2 linked regions of the Ovis aries genome follow. The main gene of each other region encodes a partner of the protein of the gene in region 2 in a complex. Links are inferred from orthologs where the notes say so. Each region holds a gene or a part of one and is shown on either strand. Other genes may lie near its edges.

Region 1 (4,277 bases), on a different chromosome or scaffold from region 2:
CAAGTACATTACTATGAATGAGTATCTCACCAAATATCAAAGAGAACCATTTTCATCTTATCCAAACTTTAGTCAATTCTGAATGGCAGGTAAACTGGATCCATGATTCTTAAGTGGTTGTTTTTTTCCCTTTGTTCCTAACTTGTCAGAGGATTATGTCTGTGCAAGCGTTTAGTGAAAGGCTGCAGTTAACAAAAACAATTTAGAGCTGGGATGGAGGGCCTTATAGTTGACCTAATCCAGTTTCCTTCTTCATAGAAAAGAAAATGGCTCAGAGAGGCTGAGCGATTAAACCACTTGGGTGAGTGACAGCTGAACCCGACAGAAGCCAAATCATCAAACCTCCTTTACAGAGTTCTGAACTGTCTCCTACCCACTCTTGAATTAAATCCAGTTTGATCCAGACAAGGTCTACAGCATTTGCCTGCGGTTGCCCCTCAAAGGCTAACGTAAGGTCTACTTGTGTTAGAAGTAAAGAAATCGGAGGATGAAAGCTCAAGGAGGGGAGGGGAGGAGCGGGGAGAGGAGGTGAGGAGAGAGACGTGTGTGTGAACTCAGGGCCGGAGGCGTAGATGAAAATAAGCACGAATGAGACTATTGGGGGGACGGGGAGGGAGGGAGCGGGGGCGGGAGGGGGGGGGGAAGGCGAGGGACCGGGAAGGCAGGACGGCGAGCGCGGGGAAGATCTGTAGAAGGCTATTTAGCACTGGACTGGAGTGAGTCAAGCGAAGAAGATCTGAGAACCAGAGCAACAAAGATTTCCACGCAAGAGATGTCGCGCTGCCTCGTGCCTCAGTTTCCCTCCCGTGTTATGGAGCAGAGCACTGAGAAATCCTCACGCAGGGGACGAACATCTTGGTAAGGGTGGTTGGTCTCGGTTTTCTGGAGATGCTGGCTTCATTCGGGTGGGGCGATGACCGCAAAATCATGTCCCCTGCTTTGACTCCCACCTCGGTCCGGTCCTCAGTGCCCGCTCCTCGGCCATCGCATTTCTGGGGCGGCTCGGGCTCACCCGGAGCAGACTCTCTCCCTCTCGGATAACTCCTTCCTGGGTACCCCAGCCCAACGCAAGTAGAAAGTAAATTCTGTGCGCTAGAAGCTGGGGTGTGTGACCAGCCACGACCCGCGCGTCGCTCCGCCAGCGCCCTCGCAGCTGCTCTCCTGCTCGAGCTCAGTGCGCAGTCTCCGTGACAGCCACTTCCGGGAGGTCCGCCGCATCAACCTTCCGTCGGGAAGCAAGTTCCTCTGGCTTCTAGTTTGGGGAACCGGAACCACTTTCCAAAACGCGGAGGAAGGAAAAAAAAGCTTTTAAATGATTCCTGAGAACACGAGGTTTTTTTAGGCTTTTAGGGACACTGATTTAAGGGGTTTTCCTTAGAGAACTTCTTAATCTTGGAGCCTAAACGGAAACTGAAACACGCACCCAGCCCAACTTCCGGAGGACCAAGATCGCGACGAACAACCAGGAAGCGGTCGGCCTGGGAGCTGTCCCCGGTTCTCTGCTCCGCTCTCTAGGGAACTTTCCGGGTCCTTACACTCTGTTTTTCTTGCCCCGCGTGACCTCAGCTCCGTTCTAGGCTCCGACCCGGGCCGGCCACTCCGGAACCCGCCATGTCGTCCGACTTTGAAGGCTACGAGCAGGACTTCGCGGTGCTCACAGCAGAGATCACCAACAAGATTGCAAGGGTCCCCCGACTCCCACCTGGTAAGGGCGCTTCTTAGGCCGGGCGGGGGTGTCCTGGAAAGTGGGGAGGCTCCGGTGTGGACGATGGAACTCTGCCTCAATGCCTCTTAGGCGCGAGCCTGGAGGATGAAGTAGTGTCGGGGCCTCCGGGAGGAATGGTTGAGTGGGTTGAGGGTAAGGGGAGGATCCAAGCTGGATTGTGGGGTGCAGAGCCTTTGGAATCTGAAGCTTTTTTGGAGTTCTTATCTGGACTTCTCCACCTTTTTACTCGTATAACCATGGGAACGTTTCTCTGAGTCTTCGTTTTGGTTGGCTTTTCTGTTACTTTTGTTTGTGAAATACAGAGATGTGAGAGTATTCAACGAGAATGAATTAACGTACCAAGGTCATGGGTCTACACCATACAGCAACGTTGTTTTGTTAGTAACGATGTTATTACTATAGGCAGAAAAGCAGGGTTGAGAGCCGTGGTGCCTGGATTCAAATCCCAGCCCTGCCACTTAGAAGTTGCATTTAGGCAAGTTTCTTAACTTCCCGCAACTTTTGTTTCTTGGTAAAATGGAAAGAATTGTGCATCTCTCATGTGAAGATTAAATGACTTAACATATGTAAAATCCTTTTTTTTTAAAATGTTAGCTGCTATAATCATTAATATTTTTCATACTACCAAGCTCATTTATTTTTTTCTCATCCTTCTTGAGAAACGATGTGTAAAAATTGGTACAGAATAATTTTTCTCACTTTTAAAATCCCACAGCTGTCATTCAGAAGAATTTTTTTGTTTTAGCACATCTTATTTTAAATGCTGGACTGTCAACTATGTGAAGGTGGGAGCTATCTTTGGTTTCCTTGGCATTTACTTAGAAGGAGCTCAGGAAAATGTTCAAGGAAATGAACAGATACATAAATATGATATCATGTAATTTTCATCTGTAGGATATTGTTTTAGGATTTGTTTTCTCTCAATACAGATTTAATTTGAGTATTTAGTTGCAAATAAGATTGCTATTCAGGAACTTAGCTGTGGTAGGGAAATTGAACCGTATACCTTCACTCTGTGGTGTAAAGTTTATCTGTAAACCGGTGGTCAACTTCATTGTTCCACCTTGTCAGTCAGTCCTTGATGCCAGCAATAATTTCTCCTATACCGAAGCTGTGATTCCTCTTTTCCTTTCCCCACCTCTCCCCAAACTTATGTGTTTATAAATAATTTTATTCCTTTATTTCTTTATTTTTCTCCTCCCCCTCCCACACCTGTTTTCTATTAATAGGGACATTTGCTTGAAGCCAGGATCTCTGAACTTACACCCCATTCATCTCCTGAAGTCCCAGTTAGTTCTGGAGGAGGTGGAGGATGATGTCTTAAAGAGGTGTATGAGTCCAAGTGAGGGAACAAGAGGAAAGAACCAAGGTAGCATCTACCACGGAGCTCTGCTGCCTGGGAGATTGTTGTGGCGAAAGTGGCCAGTGGCCTCATCACTTCATGATACATCACCTCGCCTCTTCTCTTCAGTTCTGCTTTCCTCCACCACCCAAGATCATCTTGATTTTTGTTGTCATTATCGTTGGAGCCTACCTTTGACTTCAGTCCCAGAACCTCAGAATATCAGGATTTGTGGTTTTGTGGGATTTTTTTGCTCTGTTTTAATTGTCAGAATTGTAGCTTAGCAAACATTCTTTTGTTTGGGCTAATAGCTTTGGTATTGAGAAGCTATTCTATAAAGTAACAAAGTCATTCCTGGGTGCAAAATTGTAACAGCCAATTCCAAGAAAACAGATTTGTTACAATTGTTGTTTTTTTTCTTCCCTTTTATTTTAATGTGACCATTCTTACCACATAGAAACCTTTGAATTAAGTAACTTAGAGACCTTGAATTTCTACAGCTACAATGTAATGTAAGGTCCAAAGAAGCAGCTTCATGGGAATTGAAAGGAGACTATAGCTGGCATTGGAAAAATGCTTACTAACTTGAATAATTAAATAAAATAGTAATTCTTAAAAATACTGTGGTTTCCCTCTCAATAATTATTTGTACTTGCTCATTTTATAATCTGTTTCTAGTTGATAAATAGGGAAAGATAAAAAATATTATGTTTGTAGTTATGCATTTCAGATGTATATCTGTGGACAACAGGAATTGATTATGTGCAACCATGCAAAACTAGTATGATTAAAAGTAATTATAATCTCTTCCTGGCATCATTGGTGGTTGACCCAGAAATTACCCAAGTAAAGGTTAAAAATTGGAGCAAAATTTTCAGCCAAAGCAGTTTAGTCCCTGAAATATTAACTTACTGAAATGGGATTAGAATAAATTGGATTGATTGCAACTAACTTCATTCTCTGCTGTGCATGTACAATGTGTTAAAGTGTTACTTCCAAGAGAATAGAAAAGATTAAATATTTTAAAACTTCAAAAAGAAATTTGATTACTCTGTGGACCAAAAGATAGATCAGTCTCTTCTTAAGTAATATTCTTATTGCACTATATTTGAGCTTTGATTTTAATGATTTGTATTCTGGAGTAAAGTCAGGAAAATGGATGAGTGGAAACCATCACTAACACTAATTGTAACGTTCCTCTTTCTCTGA
Region 2 (3,814 bases):
CTTTTCAAAGGGAAGGCTAGTCCAAATAACCTGGCCTTCTACATTCTAGGAAACGGATTTAACCTTTCTTTTTAAAAAGCTTTTAACATAAGATCAATATGACAATGAGAGAGAAAAAAGAAAATTACACATGATTCTACCTGTCATTTTTGTAAATCTTTGTGCACATTCCTTTCCAGTCTTTGACCGTATGTACACTTTTTTAACAAAGGTTATACCAATCTGACATTTTCATAGCAGCTAATGTCCATATTTATTATTCGCAGGGATAGTAAGCAAAGACAAATGGTAAAAAAAAATTTTTTAACTTAGGAAAGAACATCCTGAAATTTGCAGAGACCTTCTTTTGGAAATAAACTCACAGAAAGACGAGATCCAGCTCTTGCTCGGGCAATGCTCTCCTTCTCCTTTTCAGACACCCTTCTCTGCACAGCCTGGAAACTGTTTAAGGCTGCAGAGAAGTCATTCATGAGACGTTCCTTCTGAAGTTTCTGCTGGCGCTGGGAAATTAAACAAGAACTTAACATTTCATATTAACCCAGAATCATTTGGTTTTAATTCCCTTTAAAAGCAAAAGTACACCCCCTAAAAATTCCCAACTAGGAAAAGAACTATGAAATAGGCTCTTCCTTAAATGAATGAACTTGCTCTTTTCTAACTCAAATCTCTGGTTAATACTATAGGCCAAGTCAGAGTTTTCCTTCTTTCATTCTTACAAACCTGTGAACTAGGTGTCTTTTACCATGTAAGGGAATCTCAGAGGGAACCACAGTTCAGAATTTTAGTTCCCAGGAGAATCTAAAAGCAGAATAAACACCTATGGATTTAGACTAGACTCAGAGACTGTTTCCTTGCTACATGTTCAACTGTATTCATCTATAGTTAGTTCACAGCTTACCTGAACACCACAGAATCGTTTGCCTTTACACTGAAGTGAGGTTCAAAATCTTTGAGAACCTAAAAGCTTATTCTGCAGAGTTACAGGCTATGTTTATTTAGCTTACTGATACTATGTCTCAAAAAGCACATACTGAGAGCACTTGCTATAGTCAATTGGTACTATAGGTTATACAGAGGCAAGTATAATCAGTAAGAATCCAAGTGGTCAAGGCCTCAAGAGGTGGTGGACACTAAGGGAAGAGTAAGGCATGAATAGTAGAGAAGGGGAAAGGCAAAGCCATGCAAGGTAACTGTGTGAGCAAAGGCATGGTGGCAGAAATTTGCAGAGGATTTATAAAAAGATAGTTTGACTGGAACCAGAGGTTTTTTTCATGAGAATAGCTAAAAGATAAAATTGAAAACATAGGGAAGGAGCTGGCCACTGCAGGTTTTATATTTATTCTTTAAAGATTTGCTTACTTGGCCATACTGGGTCTTAGTGGCACACGCAGGATTTTTGATCTTCGTTGTGGCATGCAGGGCTTCCCAGGTGGCACTAGTGATAAAGAACTCACATGCCAACGCAGGAGACTAAGAGACGGGGTTCCACTCCTAGTCTGGAAGATCCCCTGGAGTAGGGCAGGGCAATCCACTCCAGTATTCTTGCCTGGAGAATCCCATGAACAGAGAAGCCTGGCAGTCTACAGTCCATAGGGTCACAAAGAGTTAGATATGATGGGAGCAACTTACGACCCATGCACTCAGGCATGCAGGTTCTTTAGCTGTGGCCTGTGGAGTTTTTAGTTGTGGAATGTGAACTATTAGTTGTGGCATGTAGGATCTAGTTTCCTAAGGATTGAACTTGGACCCCCTGCATTGGGAGGGCGGAGTCTTGGCCACTGGACCACCAGGGAAGTCCCCACAGCAGGTTTTATTTTATTTTTTAAATTTATTTTTGGTTGTCCAAGTCTTTGTTGCTTCACACAGGCCTCCTCTAGAGCGGGGGTTACTCTTTGTTGCAGTGCGAAGGCTTCTCAATGCAGTGACATCTCTCATTGCGGAACACAGGCTTTAGAGCTCAGGCTCAGTATTTGTGGCTCACAGACTTAGTTGCTCTGTGGCATGCAGGATCTTCCCAGATGAGGGACTGAACCTGCGTCCTCTGCATGGGCAGGCGGACTCTTAAACACCGGACCCCCAAGGAAGCCCACCCGCTGCAGGTTTAAAATGCCAAGCTAATGAGTTTGGGATTCAAAGAGCAATGAGGATTTCTATGAGGGGACCATGATGTGTACAAAATGATAACTTCCACAATGGTGAACACAATGGAATGCGAAAATGAAATAAGTCAAAAAGATGACCACAATAATCAAGGTTTAAGGTTAGGAAGACATGGTATCAGTAATGAGAACACAAAGAAATGAGTCTAAAAAACATTATGCGACTGGCTGTGGGAAAGGAGGATAAAGTCAAAGGATGACTCACATTTCACACCTGGGAGAGAGATGGTAACACTGAAAGCAAATTTAGATGAGGGACTTTTTATCCCATTCCTGAGATTTTAATTTTTACATAAACATTAAATAATAGAGGGGAAAAAACATCATTCCTCAATCTCACTATCCAAAAATATTATCTTTTAAGTATATCATAAACATTTTCCATGTTAACATACTCTTCACAATTCAGTCTTTGCTATACAATACTCCATTAAGTTGATCTAGTAAATTTTATGTAAGCATTCCTTCTAGATTGTTCTATTTTTAACTATTACAAATAAATAAAGCTAAACTAAGCCCTATTGTAACACTAATATTTATACAATGCTTATCACATATCATATTGTTATAACCACTTTATATAATAACTCATTTAATCCATCTATCAACCTATACTATTAAAGTACCTATTTGACAGATCTGGAAAATGAGGCACAGAGAGGTTAAGCAATTTGCCTAGGATCATATAGTAAATGGCAAGGGCAGAATTTAAATCCAGGAAACCTGGCCCCAGATTGCATAGCTGGGTTTTTTTCCCTTAGAACTTAGAAACATTTGCATGAGTGGAAATATTAGGTCAAAAGGCACAAACTTTTTTTTATGACAATAAGTACCGTCAGTCAGCTTAGTGAGGGGTTTGGGTGAAACAGAAGGGATTCATTAGCGTATCAAAGAGGCGATGTCAGAGCAGGAATCAGCAATATGGGCCAAGTACTTAGAGGTGCAGGGGCAAGGGATTGAAAAAGATTTGGGGACCATGTCATAAAAGTCACAGGAAATTCATAAAAGTAGAAAAGACTCCTGGGGGAGAAAGCATAAAATAACAAAATTAGAGGATCACTGGTAGCACCTCGGGGCACACCCACTTCTAACAAGACACAGAGTCAGAGAAAGACGCTGAGACTCAACCTGGGGTAAGAGAGACAAAAGGCCAGAAAGGGGTCACCAGAGTCAGGGGACACGAAATCTACTTTGTTGTCTTTACTATGGAAATCATGGGAAGAAAAAGGAAATTTCAGTAAAGACAGGATGAACAGGAGGATCAAATAAAACAAAGAGAAATGAATAAAAATGCAAAAAACCTCCACTGGATTTGGCAATTAGAAGATCACTGATAACAGTGCGTAAGTATGAAAGAAATGTGAAAGTACGATGTATGGTTTGATAGTCCAGTAGCAAAAAGATGAGTGACAGGGCTAAGGTTAATTAGATAAAGAAACAGTTGAAAAGGAAAAGAATATTCAGCACAATAGGAAGAAGGGAATCCAGGATTTATATTTCACCAGAGATAATACCTCTGTGGATTTGTTTTATGTTCTTAATGATTCAAACTTTGCCAACAAAGGTCCATCTAGTCAAGGCTATGGTTTTTCCAGTAGTCATGTATGGATGTGAGAGTTGGACTATAAAGAAAGCTGAGCACCGAAAAATTGATT

Evidence for each region.
Region 1: the proteins of STX12 (region 2) and VTI1A are in contact, whole or in part, in a crystal structure (PDB 2NPS), measured with the Rattus norvegicus proteins. The link is inferred for Ovis aries from reciprocal best matches to the Homo sapiens genes STX12 and VTI1A. Residues at the interface, in NP_075228.2 of Rattus norvegicus: Glu185, Ile188, Gln189, Leu191, Glu192, Ile195, Leu196, Val198, Asn199, Phe202, Lys203, Leu205, Ala206, Ile209, His210, Gly213, Ile216, Asp217, Glu220, Val223, Glu224, Ser226, Glu227, Val230, Glu231, Ala233, Ser234, Asp235, Leu237, Gln238; in XP_038945999.1 of Rattus norvegicus: Arg131, Arg134, Ser135, Arg138, Leu139, Ala141, Gly142, Ile145, Ala146, Glu148, Thr149, Ile152, Gly153, Met156, Asn159, Leu160, Asp163, Arg166, Arg169, Ala170, Arg173, Leu174, Glu176, Thr177, Asn180, Leu181, Lys183, Ser184, Ile187, Leu188.

What each region holds. Positions count from the first base shown.
Region 1 is NC_056075.1:32,506,178-32,510,454, forward strand, and holds the start of VTI1A (vesicle transport through interaction with t-SNAREs homolog 1A), read left to right. Parts: upstream 1-1,456; 5' UTR 1,457-1,611; coding exon 1,612-1,705; intron 1,706-4,277. UniProt on the Homo sapiens protein: V-SNARE that mediates vesicle transport pathways through interactions with t-SNAREs on the target membrane. These interactions are proposed to mediate aspects of the specificity of vesicle trafficking and to promote fusion of the lipid bilayers.
Region 2 is NC_056055.1:239,297,635-239,301,448, forward strand, and holds part of STX12 (syntaxin-12), read right to left. Parts: intron 501-3,814; coding exon 363-500; intron 1-362. UniProt on the Homo sapiens protein: SNARE promoting fusion of transport vesicles with target membranes. Together with SNARE STX6, promotes movement of vesicles from endosomes to the cell membrane, and may therefore function in the endocytic recycling pathway.